Arabidopsis thaliana: one gene and its partners. The protein of the gene in region 3 purifies or fractionates together with the protein of the main gene of each other region. This does not show direct contact. Each region holds a gene or a part of one and is shown on either strand. Other genes may lie near its edges.

Region 1 (5,978 bases), on a different chromosome or scaffold from region 3:
CAGAGCAAGTTGTTTTTGAAAAGTGAGAAATGAGAGAGAGAGTTGAAGAATTCGTACTGGCGAGAGAATTGTAGAAATCACGGCCGAGGAAATTGAAGCCGACGCTAATGCCGGTGGTGGCGAGAGTAAGGGCGAAGACGGCGGCGAGACGAAGCCTGGCTTGGTCTTTGTCCTCGGAAAACCAATAAGGCGACGCGACTTTGTAGAATTTCTTCCACAGAGTCTTCAACTCCGATGCCTTATCCGGACGAACCGACGGTTGCGGCAACAAAGAAGAACATGATACGGTTCTGAAACGTGGATTTTTCTTCCGATGAAAGTTTCCGATCGATGATTCATGGCGAAGCAAAGAAGAATGGCGTAGGAGAAGGTGAGGAGGACAAACGGGAGCTGTTATCATCAAAATCATCCTCCGTCGTCTTCTTACTAATCCCACATAGCCATAGCAACTTGAGGGAGCAAGAGGGAACACTTATAACTAAAGCTCAACCATTCATTTCTTTGCCAGATAAATAATACAAAGGGAAAGAGAAGATAATGACAACGAGAACGTAGCCATTTCTGTTGATTGGTAGCTTTTACAACAGAGATTATACAGAGAAAGAAGGGCTAAAAAGATTCAATTTTTAACGAATCAATGAGGAGTGAGTCTCGGCTTTGGGAAATCTGAGTTCCTCAATAAATTACCCAATTAGTCTATCTCCTTTTATTCATGCAATAGCCCCTTTTCAGGCTTTAAGTTCTACACCTATGAAAGAGCATCAAATCAAACATCACGCTGCTGAGACTCTTTGCTTTTCAGATTTCCATTCTTTCTTCTCACAACCTGGAGTTGTTGCCTAACAATCTTCTTTTTAACTCCCATGCCACCGCATCAATGAACTCTTCCGTATTCACATACTGATCCCTCCTAACCCTGTTCAAATAGTAGACAAAAACTTATCTTTAAACATTTTTTATTAAGTGCATCAACCTCATCAACTTTCTCTCAAGTTTTAGTCTTACTTGGCTCCGTGGATCAGAAGAGCTAGATCCTTGGTCATTTTGCCAGACTCCACCGTCCCCATGCAAGCTGCTTCTAGTTTCTCAGTATAGCTCAAGAGTGCGGCATTGCTGTCCAGCTTTGCCCTGGTACCATCACATACCAAACATCTTGTTAAGATGAACTCAACCAGTTTTCAGAGACTTTAAACTCAATTTATGCCAAAGGTAAAACGGTTCACATAGTTCAGTGATCAATTATAAAGAGACAAGTAATGACAAATCTTACCACAAACAATCCCTGATAGACTAACTCATTATTGAAGCAAGGGACTGGATTTTCTCCAGAGTAGCAACACGAATTACCAAGTATGAAAATGTTTAAAGACAGTGGAAATGCGTTACCTGTGGGCAAGGCCTCTGGACCAAGCAAAAATAGAGGCTATGCTGTTGGTGCTTGTTTCACCACCTTTCTGGTGAACTCTGTAGTGGCGTGTAACTGTGCCATGAGCTGCTTCTGCTTCAATGGTCTTTCCATCTGGACAAACCTGTAATATATCTCAAATTTAATACATAAAATATAATGATGCGCAGGAAACATGTTATCATGATAAAGACCAAAAACTTTGGCTGAGGCCCGCGTCATTTCATACCAACACCGAAGTCATCATTCCCAGAGATCCATATCCTGCAGCGGAGAGCAGAAACTTTGTTTCATAAGGAGAAATAAAATTGAAGTTTCTGTCCCCATTTAGATCACAAGTAAAGAACAAAGAACCATGATACAAGACCAAAATGCATTTGGCAGAATTAAGGTTTCAGTCCCTAGACAGATCTCAAATTTAAGAGGAAAAACCTTGGGCTAAGAAATCGCTCTGTACATCTCCATCGTAATTCTTGCATGCCCAGACGTAACCCCCTTCACTTTTCATGGCATATGCAACCATATCATCTATCAAACGATGCTCATACCTGGATTTCATTAACTTTGTTTACAAGTTTGCATGGTGTACTGTAATAGAATGTCGCTAATAACATGCACATCTCACCATATCCCTGCTGCTTCATACTTGGATCTCCAGTTAGCTTCATAAACTTCTTGGAATATATCCTTGAATCTGAAAACAAGATGAAAAGGTAATATCAGGGCAGTATGACTAGATGGTGAAATGATTTCGGTGAGACTCTAACAAGAAAGTATAAAGGCCAGTGAATTCACACCTTCCATCATATATTTTGAGGATGGTGTTTTTTGTGGAGAGGTAAAGTGGCCACTTTTTCTGGTAAGCTGTGTACATCGAGGACTCAGCAAATGCACGAATAGACTGTTCAAAAATGAAATCGGACCACCATATCAATAGATACTCTGTAAGTGTATTCAGATAGTGCAGACATGAAGGAGAGGACTATTTCAATAATATCTACCTCATCAGTGTTATACATGGCTAAAGCAACACCTCCACCGGTGAAATTGAAGACTTCGAATTCTGTTTTCTGAGAAGATCCACTTGGCTCTGCATATGTAAGATATGATTTTTAACGTGTATAAATAAACTTCCACAGGTAGGTGAATTCAATGACAATGATCCCCCATTATTCTCTATAATGAACAATTTAATTGAAGGGTTAGACAGATCCAGAACGGGAGGAGGAGATTACCAAAAACTAGTTTCAGTTTTCCTGGTTCATTGACAATGAGATCAGTGGCTCTATACTGATCACCAAAAGCATGCCTTCCAATACAGATTGGCTTCGTCCATCCTGAGGAAATGAAATCAGAGGGATTTGTTTTGCTCTACATGTTAAAGGTACAGAAAATGGCTAACTCATACAAAAAGAGCAGCCATTGACAAACCTGGAACAAGACGAGGGATGTTTCTGCAAATGATAGGTTCCCTGAAAACTGTGCCTGCATAAAAATAACAACATGATCTTAGAGCTTAGGAATTGAAGAAGGAATTGCCCCCTTTTTTGGCGAAGAAACTGACCGTTTAAAATGTTCCTTATAGTTCCATTAGGACTCCTCCACATTTTCTTTAAGCCGAACTCCCTAACACGAGCTTCATCTGTCGTTGAAAGCAAAAACTGTTGTTAGTAAGTGAAAGAAGCACACTTTTAAATTAAAAATTGCAAAGGTTTAAGAATACATACCCGGAGTAATCGTCGCACACTTAATAGCCACATTATACCTTCACACAAGAAAAGAAAAGAAAAAAACTTTAAGGCAGACAATATATTCTGAAACCAATAGCCATGAACAAGCTTTATTCACAGAACAACCTCAACACTAGAAGCAGAAAGCATGGAGAATATGATATCTAAGTATAAAATGTAAAGACGACATACTTTAAAGTAGCTTCAGCAGTCTCTATAGTAACCTTATCATCAGTGAAATCGCGGTTAGGCAGTCCAAGATCAAAGTATTTGATATCCAGCTCCAGGAAAGGGAAAATAAGCTGCAAAATTCTCAAGATTTTAATCACAAAAAGAATTCAATCTGTGATTAAAGATTTAAAAAAAAGTTAAGATTTTTACCTTGTCTTTGATGAATTTCCAGATAACTCGAGTCATTTCGTCTCCTGCTTGTGCACAGAGAATAAATAAAGAGTCAAGTTTCTGAATTTATTTCATAAAACTATAACATATAGAAGAAAAGAAAAACCCGGAACAGAGCCGATCACATATACTCCAATATAAGCAAATCAATCAATCAGAGTAACGAGAAACCCATAATCGTAATCATAGATTTGAGCTAATTGACTGTTCGAACACTTACCATCCATTTCAACAACGGGATTGATCACCTTGATCTTCTCGAATTCCATCTTTGCCCGCAGAGGTTGGTAATGATCGACGAGTGAAATTGAATAGTGAAACGATCACCTCTGCTCCGCCATGAAAGACAGACGATAACAGCTCTATATCTCTATGTTGGGCCACACTCTTCCAAAAGCCCAAATAATCAAGCCCACTTATATATGGGCCTGATTCTGCAATTTGAAACCATGCTTCTCTTTTTGTATACTAGCATCATCTTTGAATTCCCCGCAGTGATAGTCAGCTTTAACAGTAATCATCAAAATCTTAAAATTGAAGAAGATCTGCTTTGGCTAATTGATTGAATAATTAATCAAAATTTGAGATAACAATCACGAGGTGGTCCTGTAGGATTAGTATATTAAAAAGAGTAATGAGTGTGACCACTTTAACAAGGGTAGAAATGAGATTTAATGCATGGAGAAAAGCAAAAGGCAAATAACGCAAATGTTTTTGGACAGTGACATTGTTCTTCTGCTATAATTGAGATGCGTGAAAAAACATGAAAGCAAGAATCTCTAGAGACACAGGGATTCCAACTTGTATTATTTAAAGGCTTTTCTTTTTTCCTTGGATCAGTTTGTTTAGCACAAACTAATATGAGATGGAAAAAAAATATGTTTTGGAAACCGACATGTAGGGAATCAGATGCTACTTTTTCTGAACAAGACTCTTCTTCTCTTTTAGAAGAATTGTGATTGATGTTGATGTTTAAGATGATGTATGATCATTTTATTAACAAACCAACAAAAAAGGGATGATGTATGTATTATCATGATACATGATACATGTCAACATGTATATCGTATGTATGTATTATCATGATTCCCCCATAGAGTCCCGCCTTTGCCAATTTCGTCATGGATATATATACACGTAAAGTTTGTTTACTATTCATTTAATAATGTCACTATTGTGTTACGTCTAATTAATTAATGTTTATTTGATACTCTAGATATCAATACTATAAGCTTGAGAAAGAGTATAGGTACTTGATACATGTGAAATGGAAATATAAAAGGGTTGATAAGATAAGATGCTTAGATCTTAATTAGCTTTATTCGCTTCCCCTTAGATCGTATCAAAGGTTGCATGTCTTTAGTTAGGCTTGCATGTTAGCTTCCTCGTTGTCTTTATTAATTAATTAATCCACATTCCTTTTGCATTTGTGATACAACATTTATATATATAGTCACATTTTTTTTTATATATAGTACTCACATTAATTACTTGTTCATATAGACTTAGACTCGATTTGTGACCAAGAAAAACAAAGTGGTGAAACAATTGGGGCATGTCTTGTTGTTGTCGTTTGATAAGTTAAACTGTTAAAGCATCTTTCGCCAAAATATTTTTCAGTTGCTATCTTTTGTTTTTTGTATCTGTCACTCTCTCTCTCTCTCCCTAAGTTATTGGTGACCACATCTTAAAGCTTCCCTAAAATGTTATTGTTATTTCTTTCTCACGGAAAAGGGAGAGTTACTTACTTGAAGTTTGAATATTATACTTTATAAGAATGGAGGAGTTTTATATATGTCGCAACTTGTGGACTCCCTCAGTATTTGATCATTTCCTTACATAAAACGTTTGATTACTTCATTCTGTTAAATTCCGTTTACAATGTTCTTCGTCTACATGTGAATTATATATATTAGCAAACGAAAAAAAACCATGTAAACGAGACATCTAATATATGACATGAGTTATATATATCATACATGTGAAGAATGAAGATGTCCTTATTTTTTTAATTTATCTTTTGGATCGAGGCCGAGAGTCGAGGCAAAAGAGATTTGACCGGAAGTTAGTAAAATTGAAGGGCCGAGAGAAAGAGAGTCAAAGATTGTGTGGGAGTAATGATGTAAAAGAGCCGAACAACGTCTTTAATCCATATGTAAAAGGGACTAAAGAAGCCTCCCAACACTAAAGCCAAAGTCGACTTGGATGCCTCCTGCTTTTTTATTCTCCCATTTTTTAATCATATATATGAATTCAATTTATAAGTATTCTTATTATAAGACCATAACAACATAAAACAATATAACAAAACTGTCAAACCGAAAAAAAAAGAAAAGAAAAAGCCGAGTGTTTAGGTGTCGCCAGGTAGATTTGGTTTGAGAAGAAGAGATGGGTCCCCTAAACTGTTGAATCATAAAAAGCCTTCATTTTTGGTTTAAAGC
Region 2 (4,959 bases), on a different chromosome or scaffold from region 3:
TAATGATGATGCGAGGCAGAAGAAGGAATTGGATAAAGAGAATAATGATCCTCTACTGGTATATATACATACTCTACAAATCATTCACTCTCTAAGTAGACGGTTTTGAGATTATAGTTCTAGAAACAAAGAAAAATGTTTTGTGCTCCATTGATTTTGTGTTTTGAACATTTCTCAATCTATAGGCGGAGCGTCGAGTGCTGGACTTCAACGATTGCGAGTCTCCAATCAAAGCAACAGAAGAAGTCTCATCCTACCTCTTGAAGGGATGTAGGTAAAATGCCAAAAGCTTATACATAATATGCAAAATGCACCATACATGAACAATGTATAAATATGTATGTGCATCTTTTATGAATTATCCCTGGCTGGATCAATTTTTTTTCTCTGTTTCTTTTTAATGGATCAATTGGAGTGAATTTATGTAGATTCTGTGTTCAATATATATATACATATTTCATTTGCCTGCAATGAGTACACGTCCGTATACTCTGTGAAACGAACCAACTGCAGTAACTTATTCTTGTTCTCTGCTAGTTTAATCTAAATAGTTTCTGCAATTCCGTCATATGCTAAAACCTCAGATTCTACATGAACTGTATTCAAGTTCACCAGCTTAAATCTCAAATGTTTTCTCTTAAACATTTGACTCTATAAGAAACCAAAAAAGAGTTGTAAGCAATAGTAGAAGAGAGAGCACAAAAGCTTTCTTGCGTACTTTATTGATACTGGGATGAAACAATAATAATAGTAACGACATTTATCTTGTCACTGCCGGAAATGCTATAATAGAAAGAAAAGAACAAAATCTTTATTATGAAGCTTTGGTGTCATGGTGGTGTTCAGTTTCTCAGACGGCTTTGGTGACAACAGCATGGATAGCGTCTGCAAGGTGAGGTACAGTCTTCGAACTCAGACCAGCCATGCTTATCCTCCTTTGGTTCATTTATATCAATCATCACACACTAAGTTAGACAAAATTCAAGAAAATTAATAGATGAAGAAGAGAGGCAGGCGCTTACCCGTCAGATGTCATGTAGATGTGGTACTCTTTAGTCATGAAGGAGACTTGAGCTGGGTTTAACCCTGTGAAGGTAAACATACCAATCTGCTTTATGATGTGACTCCAGTCTCCAGGAGTGCCTGTCACAGTGATTTTGAATTTCATTTCATTAGCTATGTCCATTTACATTCCTTATACAAATCAATAAGACCTTACTTACCTCGAGTACGTAATGCCTCGAAAAGCTGTTTCCTCATGCTGATGATACGATCAGCCATGGCCTTCAGTTCCAGAGTCCATTCGTTGAACAAATTCTTGTCACGGAGGATTACAGCCACGATTGATGCACCATGGATTGGAGGACTCGAGTACATTGGCCTTATCACTAGTTTCAGTTGGCTTTCAACTCTCCCCGCAACATCTGCTGATTTGCATACCTACAACAACTTCTTTTATGTCAGAAAGAATTTCTTACGCGTTTCTTAAATAGATTTCTTGCAATGCAACAGGTTCTTACAATGCTGAGAGCTCCAACTCGTTCTCCATAGAGTCCCATGTTCTTCGCATAACTTTGAGCAACGAGGCATTCTCCGCCATCAGCAACAAACATCCTAATAGGTTTCGCATCTGTATCAAGACTTCCACTTGCAAAGCCCTGCGATACAAAAAGAGAGACAAGTATTAACCATTGATTCAGAAGGAAAATGGTTTAAATATCAGCTGATCTTACACAAAAGGATTCATCAGGTGTACCTGATAAGCACTATCGAAGAAGGGCATCAATCCCTTTGATCGCATCAACTTCCTGATTTGCTCCCATTGTTGAATGGTTGGATCAACACCAGTAGGGTTATGGGCACAGGCATGGAGAAGCACTATAGAACCAGGTGCGGCAGCACCAAGGTCTTCTAATAAACCTGTGAACAAAAGAAGAAAAAAAGTTGACGTAAACGAATTCAGAAAGATATATAAGCATATCAACAATAGCAAGCAAAGAACTCAGTAGTCTCACCTTGAAAGTTCAACCCACGCGTCGCTGGATCGTAGTATCGGTAAGTTTTCACTGTCAAACCAGCGAGCGTGAAAATCTTTGGATGATTTCCCCATGTTGGCTGAGTGATGTAAATTGTTTTCTGAAAAGCAAAGGAAAAGACTCCAAATTTCTATGAGAAGTTCTATAGGATGAAGAAATTCAATCAGATAGGAAATTAGGCTTAAGCATCAACCTGATGATAATGTTTAGCCAAAAACTCTCCTCCAACTCTCAGAGAACCAGTACCAGACAAACACTCCACGGTGGTAATCCGATTCTCCCGAATAGCAGGACTAAACCATACATGAGAACACCAATCATAAAGAATTGTCTAAAGAAAAAACAAAGTGATGAAAACATAAAGAATAAACAGAGAATGCATACCTGTCAGCGCCTAGTATGAGCTTAGCGCTTAACTTGTTGAACTCAACCAATCCAACAATGGGAAGATACTCCTTGATTCTTGTTCTACAGATTAACACACAAAACAAGATTCAACATCATCAAGCACACACACACACATAAAGGGTAGAAACCAAAAGAAAGAGAGGTAAACCTGTCATTGATAAGCTGCTGCTCAGCTTTCCTCACAACATTAAGAACCAAAGGTTTTCCCTCCTGTAACCCATCAATAAACAACCAATCCTTTTCAGTTGCAACAACAAAAATAATAAATCAAAGAACAGAGACACATCTTCATTGTAACATTACCTCAGTTCGGTAAGCACCAACTCCTAAATTCAGCTTAACTGGGCTAGGATCTTTGTTGTATGCAACTGTCACCTATTCATTTTTTTGTGAAAAACAAATATCAGAATCACTGACATAACCACACTAATCATCATAATTCATCTCAGAGCTGAAAATTTGGTGAAAAAAAAATGAATTACTAATCAAACGAACCAAATTCAGAAGCATAAACATCAAATCTTATCCCATTTCATAAAACATCATGTCATTTTATCGAGAGATCGTGAATTCCCACCAATCAATAACGGATCCAATGCGTATGATACACATATCCAAAAGTATCGTCCAATATGTTTGAGAATGATATAGACACACAAAACATAATCGAAGAAGAAGAAGGTACCCCAAGAATAGGATCCTCTGGAGCTTGAACAAGATGAGAGAAAACAGAACCACCGGTGCCTCCCGATGTCGGAGATGCATAAAGAGAGCTCAGGTTGTCCGAATCTGAGCCGGAATTGAGATGACGGAGCAGAGCACCGATCCTGCGATCGGAAGAAGAAGAGGAAGAGAAATGAGTAGTTTTCATTTTTGTTTTTGCTTCGTGTGTGTTTGTTTACGAATGAAGAAATAGTTGAATACGAAGATCTCTTTCTTTATATCAATTTGGTCTTCTAATTTATTTTTGGCTATCCAAATTTGCCACGTAAGCTTGGCATAAAGTTGCGTGCCTGAAGCATCATCATCATCATCATCATCAAGATATTAAAAAGTCTTTGTAAGATTATCCATGAAAAAGCCGGGAAAACAGGGAATTAAAATACTCCAAAAATAGGGTTTATATTCGCATTTTAATTGTTGAAAATCTAACATAAATTTTACATTTTTTACACTACCAATAATGTTATATAGAGAAAAACTCTTTGATTGTTTGGGAGATTTTACAATGCTCATTGTTTAGCTGCTAGTATTTTTTTTTGGTTAAATGTGAAATTATTTATTTATCTGTTATTAATAAAAAATAACAAACAACCAAAATGCTAGAGATTATTAATATGATCAACGTATAGTTGTTTTTGATTTTGTCAACGACCTTTGTTGAAGAGGATGAATATGTGATTTAATACTTAGTGTAACATGAAATATATTAAATATCTGATTGATGATGGTTACTTGTGGTTACGAACTTACGATGATAGAAGTTTGTTTGGTCTAGTCCCCATATCAAGCTTATGTTGATTATTCTAGTTTATTAGTATAATTTAATCTTTATTTTAAATTACTTTTATATGATTTACAATTTTGGATAATGGATCATTTTAGTCTCTTTTTTTTTTTTTTCACTGAAAGATATATTTTATATTCAAGATTGTAACCAAATATACAAAAAGTTAGGATCAAGGACAATCATTCTAGATCAACCACGTTGAATATTACACTAAGCAATACTTCTTTCTTTCTCAAAAAGATGTTTCAGCCAAAAAGGAAATCCGCTTGCTACATACGATTGGCGGCGATCCTCCATTGTCACGCTCTTGGCAATAAGATGAGCTCCAAGATTAGAGCTTCTTACTTCACCACACAATTTCCAATCCAAGATCATTTTAGTCCAAAACCAGATTATTGCTGAAAAGCAAAGCATTCGATTAATTTAAAAATCCGGCAAATTATAATCTTCATATTTTTTCGTTGATACGAGGACGTTCTCCTATCTTCTCCAAGAAAGAAATTTGTATCCTCGAAAGTACTTACTCAGTTACTTGACTTATCAGGTGTTGATGGTTCGAGGGCTGGTTTACTGATCCACGGCCAGGTTAAGTTAACCCATCAAAATTGTAACACGTCCTGGGTTGATATGCGAAATCCACTTTTTATCGTCTAAATGTTTTTGTACGTCCTTCCTATCCCATAGTGGGGGTGGTTGGTTGGGTCCGGCAAATGGATTCTGACCCGATATAAGAATAGAGAACCAATTACTTGGATCGTCGATGGCTTCGTTGAGCTTGGGATTTGTTGTAAAAACTGGTTGCTGTGAAGAGATTATTCAAGACGCCAATTATGTCTCATATACCTTTGTTTTTTAGTGGCCGGTTTCTGATGAGTTTTGGGATGCTTTGCTTTATAACTGATACTTTAATGGATAAAATAAGTTAATTTAATGTTTCTACAGAATAAATGGTTGGTCCATATATGTTTTTGAGAGGGGTAGACAAAATTTTAATTTGAGTTCGAC
Region 3 (5,807 bases):
CATACATCTATAGTCATATAGATCATACTCATATATACATGCACATATAGATATGTGATATAGTGTACATGCATATATCGGAAGAGTCAGTCAAACTTGGTTTTCGTCTTTAATTTAGACTCTTGGGTTAAACAAGATTAAAGACATAAGCTGTCAAAATTAATTTAAGGATGGTGTCGTAACTACCTTCACTACTAACCAACTAACAAGTTTTCTTTTTTAATACGAATGTATTATTTGTTTTAGTTTGTTTTTTTCAATGTTGGAGGATTTAGATAGACGACAACAGTTGGCTAATAGCAATAGTACAACCACAAATTGTATGATAAATACATATTCAACTAACTAATTCGGTTATTAATTGCTCAATTAATAACTAAAAACGTAAGGAAACTTTATGGATCGAAAAAAGCCAATTAATAGAAGGTAAAGCAAAAGGGCACATAAAACTAAATGTGATCGTAAAATCTGCTGACATGCAAATGCAATAGTACAACCACAAAATTGTATATGCAATTAATCTGTTTTATTTCTTCATAGATAAATAAATGTGATATTTTACAAATATTAATTTATCACCCATATAACTTAAGATATTTGTAGTTTACTTCACATTTGTTAAAAACATGAATAAAATATAACATAAATAAAACAGTGTTGCCCCTTTTAGCCGCACAAAGAAAGAGTTAGAGTTTGGCAGAGCGGAAGCGTTGCTTAATCAACGGTCGGATGTACTCACGGTAGCCGTCAGGAACCACCGAGTCATTGAGTGGATCCTTCAACGCTTCCTCGAAAAGCTTTGGATAAACGTTTCCGTCATAGCGGCCTAAGACAGAGCCAAGATACTGGTCCGTGTAGTCGAAGGCGTCCACTAGGGCCACTGCGTTTGGTCGAACCTGAGAGTAGAGTGATCGAAGCTGCTGGTTCGCAAGTGAGGCTTGTTCAGGAGTAACAGAGTTTGTACTGAGGAAATCACCAAGGTGTTTGTGAAGGAGATAGAGTGCGTAGATGTAGCATAGATTCTTGAGCTGTTTCTTCACTCCTTTTCCTTCAATATCTCCCTCTACTTTGGCTATAAACCTGTGAATTTTCACGTAAGTTATGATTTGAGTCTGTTGATTAGTTTGTAAAATTTTAGTGAAGAAGCTTATTTACTTACTTAGAAACAACAATTAACTGGCAATGAGCAGTAGCAGCCTCAACAAGATCAGCCAAGAGTTCTGAGAATCCTTGTTCTTGATTCTCAAACTTGCTTAGATTGTTAGCACAAGTAACAGCCATTCTCAAAGCTCTTGCTTCAAAAGCTTCCAACACCATACCAGGGTTTAACCAGTCCCTAGCTACATTCTCAACCAAGATAAATTCAGAAAACAGGTAGATATAAAGAGTATAAATATTATGGTAGTATCCATGAAAAAATCACCATTTCGAACTCCGGAACTGCATTGCAAAAGGTGTTTTGCTCTGCCCATATAAGCAGTTGTCCCAGAAGGAGCCTTTCCAGAACCCAACTGTGAAACTGTCTTCATCAGAAATCTAGCAACCTGAAGATCCATTGTTTTAAAACATATATAACAAAATTTTAAGACCATTTCATTTGCCATTATAAAGAGTAGGGGCTTGAAATGATTCTTAAAAGTGATATTCAAGAAGATAAGTTTAAGAATACCTGTAACTGCAACACAACATTGTCTCCCTCGTATGTGCAAGCAGGAACATATACAGCAAACAATTCAGGAAGCCCACTACACCACAAGTATCCATGTCCACCACATAACTTACGACATTCTTCAATCCCATCCTTTTAACCAACAACAAAAAAAACACAGTTTAGCTGATAATATTCAACTTATTTTAATAAGTTAAGATTTGAAAGCATACAGAGGTGGCTGAGGTAGTCATAGACTTCAATCCAGCAGTGCATGCATGAGCTTCAGGCAATGTTGCGAAATCACTGGCCTCTAGTCTTTTTGTTACATCAGTGTAGAGCCACTTCAGCCATTCCCCTACAAACCGAAATGCATATGCAGATGCCAGCAGAGGAAACAACCTGTTCTGCTGAGTTTTATAATTAATCACCTGCCAATTATAACAACATCAATAACTGGTCTCTATGTTTATGGTCATGACTGATGACCATATTCTATCTAGAGATTGGATTCTTACTTAACTAAGTTACAGAAAACATTTTTGCCCCATAGTTATGAATAGTGAGATTTGTTGAATACCTGTGTCTCAATGCCACCATCATGTGAGCCAAACTGCCTTCGAACAGCACTGTACCTAGTAGCAATGCAAACTGCCCGAGCCAGCGCGGTGGAAGCATTTGACACAATAGACTGTCTCACATACACCATAGTACCATACACCAATTGCCTTGGAACATCTGATGCTACATATTTTCCTTCTCTTGTAACTTTTGACAGTCTATAAGAAGAAAAATGCACAACCATAAATCTGTTTCTCTTAGGGATATTAAATGATAAAATGCTTTTATTCATAGAAAGGGCCAAAGAGAGAGGACCTCATGAGCATTTGATCTCTAGGAATGCGAAAATGATCAAACATAAGAAAACCATTGTCCATTGAGTTATATGCCCCGTTTCCAAACTTCATTCCGATATCACCAACGGTTATACCCGGAAGAGGAGAATGATCATCCAAACTACGCAGCTGCACGATGAATCCTGAAAAACAGAAAAATCTTGTTACTCAATACTACTGATGATTATTAAAAAAATGAATAAGAAATCGTTCTAGTGCCTTACCATGTACACCATGGTCTTTGCCATTGGTTATTAGACGAGCATAAATAACAGCATGAGTAGAAACTTTTCCTAACCCACCAGGCCACCACTAATGTTTCAAACAAAACAAAATCAAGACACAATTTAAACACTCAGAGATCAAAATAGATAACTGTCTATACTTCTTCCCCTTACTTTGGATGATGTCTGAGTTGGACTGTGAATGATAAACTGATCTGTCTTTGGATCAAAAGTAGCGGTTGTCTCAAGGCCTTGAACATTAGAGCCATGACCAAGCTCAGTTTGAGCATAACATCCAATTATCTGCATCTTAGTAGCTAAAGACAACCACTTTTGTTGTTGTTGCTCTGTGCCTTGTCCTTTAATTGCAGGCACAAACATTCCCTATCCACCACAAAACCAATTCAACACCAAAATTCTAATTAAACCACCCAAGGGAAATTGTAAATTTTGTGTTATACCCAATGCAGATCCAAGAAGCCTGGTTGATCCATGAAAGATCTCAATTTGAGTCCTTCCTCATCTGAGAGACGAAGCTCGTTAATCAACTTCCAAGCGTGAACACTTTTCCTCAACGTGTTCTTGAACAACTCTTTCCTACTCATCACAGCTCTTTTGCTTTTCTCAAAGACCTTAACATGGCAAAAGTTTCGAAATTCACATCGGAAATGTCGCCGGAAAAACAGAGAAAGGAGGAAGGAGAAATCTTACCGGATCATTAGCGACGAGGCGAGACATACGATTTGAAACATCGAAAGCGTGGCGGGAACCGGCCCAGACGATCTTCATATCGTCGACGTTGAACTCTGCTTTGTTCCTCTCATCGGCAAGGTGATCAACTCTCTCCATTGTTCTCTCTATTGTCTCAGATTCTCGAGTGTGTGTGAAAAATTGGATAAATCAAAGAAAGAGAAGCCACTAAAAAAGCTCTTACCTTTGGGTGATTCAATAAGAAAGAATTCGTTACAGAAAAAACAGAGGATTTTGTTCTATTTTTAGGATTACAAGTTTGAACAGAAAGAGAGACTAATGTAATAAAGGTAACAAAAAAATTGGTAATAGAAAGTTCCAAGTATTTATCATTTATATCGGATTCTAATGAAAGACGTGATAAGATTTGGTTTAAAACTAATCAAGCTCTCTCTAATCATCTACACATCATAGTTGCCATTAGCCCATTAGCCCATTACTACACTCTCGTGGGCTGTAGATAATTTGCTCAGCTACTTTTGATTTTTTTTTGTTGACTTTAGTAAATCACTCCAATATAATAAAGCCTATTTGCAGTAATTTCTATTTTGTAGCCTAGTTGTAAATTCTTTTTACTCGAAAGTATTACCCAGGACTAGTTTTGTTTGTTTTGAATTTAATATTTTAGAGGACTTAGATACTTTTTCTTAAGCTCAAAGAGAACTTTATTTTTGGCTCAAGAAGTCTTGAATTTTAACAATTAAAAACATAATTTTCTTTTCATTTCAAATATGGGTAAATTAATTGTTCTTTTAAAAAACTTAAATTAATTTGATACTTAAAAATTAAAGAAAGGATCTTATCCAAAACAAAAAAAAGAGTTAAAGAAAGGATAATCCTAATATTATCCGGGCCTTGTGCGACGCATGACTCTTTCTCCATAAATCGGCAAAACACGTGTCAACAGAGCATTGACTTTCACATAAAAGCTACAATAAGAGGTGAAACGCTTGTCAGTTTAGCAAAAACCCTCTCATTGAAAACACTGAGATCCTTCTTTTTTTGGTTCTCCTCTCTTAAAGAGAAAACCTAAAGGTTGAGTAGAGATTAGGCAAAAACAAAATTCTCGATCCCCAAATTTCGAAAACTTGTTCTTAGGGCGATTCTTCTCTTTGGTCATTTGGCGAATTTGATTTATATCCATCGGTGATCGGATTTTTTTCAGTCTTCTCCGTCTCGTCGTTACCGGCGTTTGATCGGATCATCGTTTTGTTTCAGGCGAAATATGGTGGTGATCTCCCTGAAGATTTTGAATTCAAAATTTCTTCGGTTGCTTCCTCTTGACTTTATCGCGATTTCGATTACGTGTAGACTTTCTTCTTGGCTTTGTCTTCGAATCAATTAGGATTGTGAATAATCGTGTCTGTGTATATAAGACTGGTGATTGATTATTAGGGCATCGGTTGGCAGGAGAATAGATTGTTTTTTTTTTTGGTGTGTGTTGGATCTTTAGATCTTTGACTGAGGAATATGTATATCAAAGAACTGACGGAAACGGATGAGGAGAAGAGGGAGAGATCGGTTGAGGATAACGTTGATGATGGAGATAAGGCGGTATTGGTGAGCAGAGGAAACGTGATTGTGTTGACTACAAAGAGGGCACTCGTTGGTGTTGGTGCTCGTGCTTTGTTTTATCCTACTCTGGTTTACAACGTTGTTAGGAATAAGCTCGAATCTGAGTTTCGCTGGTGGGATCGCGTGGCTGAGGTAAAATCTTGATTGTCCTTTGAGCTGTTTTAGTGGAAATTGATACATTGATCATGTAGATTGTGCTGCTTTTGATGGTTTGTGTAAAATCGTCTTCATTTGTTGTTGTATCTCTTGTAGATACTCCTCTAAGTATGTTTTCTGGATTTGGTTCTGGGTCTTTTGCTTATGCTTCTCTCTCTCTTTGGTTTCTGCAGTTTATATTACTGGGAGCTGTTCCATTTCCATCTGATGTTCCACAGCTGAAAGAGCTCGGTGTTTGTGGAGTGATCACTCTGAATGAGCCATATGAAACTTTGGTTCCATCGTCTCTCTACAAAGTGAGTTATTTAATGTGGCCGTTCTGTCTTTTGGTTTCTTCTATGTACTGACCCGGCCCATTTAATTTTCTTACTCTTATGGAAGTCTTACTGCATTGACCACCTGGTGATTGCTACAAGAGATTATTGTTTTGCTCCTTCCATGGAAGCAATATGCCAAGCTGTAGAATTTATCCATAGTAAGTGTACCTTCTCATTTTATTCTTTTACGTTTTTTGCCACTGACCATTATTAAAAAGCTTACTGTTGTCCGAACCCGCGT

The links. The genes of interacting proteins can lie anywhere in the genome.
Region 1: the proteins of ACX5 (region 3) and ICDH fractionate together in Arabidopsis thaliana (co-fractionation; one large-scale study listed by BioGRID). This does not show direct contact.
Region 2: the proteins of ACX5 (region 3) and ASP3 fractionate together in Arabidopsis thaliana (co-fractionation; one large-scale study listed by BioGRID). This does not show direct contact.

What each region holds. Positions count from the first base shown.
Region 1 is NC_003070.9:20,281,348-20,287,325, reverse strand, and holds ICDH (isocitrate dehydrogenase), read right to left. Parts: upstream 4,001-5,978; 5' UTR 3,807-4,000; coding exon 3,758-3,806; intron 3,561-3,757; coding exon 3,517-3,560; intron 3,438-3,516; coding exon 3,328-3,437; intron 3,171-3,327; coding exon 3,133-3,170; intron 3,048-3,132; coding exon 2,970-3,047; intron 2,891-2,969; coding exon 2,837-2,890; intron 2,743-2,836; coding exon 2,641-2,742; intron 2,496-2,640; coding exon 2,407-2,495; intron 2,307-2,406; coding exon 2,203-2,306; intron 2,100-2,202; coding exon 2,031-2,099; intron 1,954-2,030; coding exon 1,838-1,953; intron 1,670-1,837; coding exon 1,635-1,669; coding exon of another isoform or gene 1,629-1,634; exon of another isoform or gene 1,530-1,628; coding exon 1,387-1,529; intron 1,129-1,386; coding exon 1,006-1,128; intron 917-1,005; coding exon 820-916; 3' UTR 540-819; downstream 1-539. Other genes in the region: ABCD2 (ABC transporter family protein), read right to left, coding at 58-409. UniProt on the Arabidopsis thaliana protein: May be involved in response to oxidative stresses.
Region 2 is NC_003076.8:3,684,407-3,689,365, forward strand, and holds ASP3 (aspartate aminotransferase 3), read right to left. Parts: upstream 3,449-4,959; 5' UTR 3,316-3,448; coding exon 3,130-3,315; intron 2,820-3,129; coding exon 2,748-2,819; intron 2,655-2,747; coding exon 2,593-2,654; intron 2,505-2,592; coding exon 2,421-2,504; intron 2,330-2,420; coding exon 2,230-2,329; intron 2,137-2,229; coding exon 2,016-2,136; intron 1,921-2,015; coding exon 1,757-1,920; intron 1,659-1,756; coding exon 1,521-1,658; intron 1,441-1,520; coding exon 1,224-1,440; intron 1,144-1,223; coding exon 1,023-1,143; intron 936-1,022; coding exon 851-935; 3' UTR 540-850; downstream 1-539. Other genes in the region: MYB3R-4 (myb domain protein 3r-4), read left to right, coding at 1-58, 186-278. UniProt on the Arabidopsis thaliana protein: Amino acid aminotransferase important for the metabolism of amino acids and Krebs-cycle related organic acids. No activity with D-Asp or D-Ala as amino donors. In plants, it is involved in nitrogen metabolism and in aspects of carbon and energy metabolism.
Region 3 is NC_003071.7:14,997,772-15,003,578, reverse strand, and holds ACX5 (acyl-CoA oxidase 5), read right to left. Parts: upstream 3,854-5,807; 5' UTR 3,618-3,853; coding exon 3,480-3,617; intron 3,401-3,479; coding exon 3,230-3,400; intron 3,153-3,229; coding exon 2,943-3,152; intron 2,857-2,942; coding exon 2,769-2,856; intron 2,688-2,768; coding exon 2,525-2,687; intron 2,428-2,524; coding exon 2,229-2,427; intron 2,080-2,228; coding exon 1,882-2,079; intron 1,802-1,881; coding exon 1,670-1,801; intron 1,545-1,669; coding exon 1,424-1,544; intron 1,341-1,423; coding exon 1,160-1,340; intron 1,081-1,159; coding exon 687-1,080; 3' UTR 506-686; downstream 1-505. Other genes in the region: AT2G35680 (Phosphotyrosine protein phosphatases superfamily protein), read left to right, coding at 4,989-5,225, 5,423-5,545, 5,631-5,724. UniProt on the Arabidopsis thaliana protein: Catalyzes the desaturation of acyl-CoAs to 2-trans-enoyl-CoAs.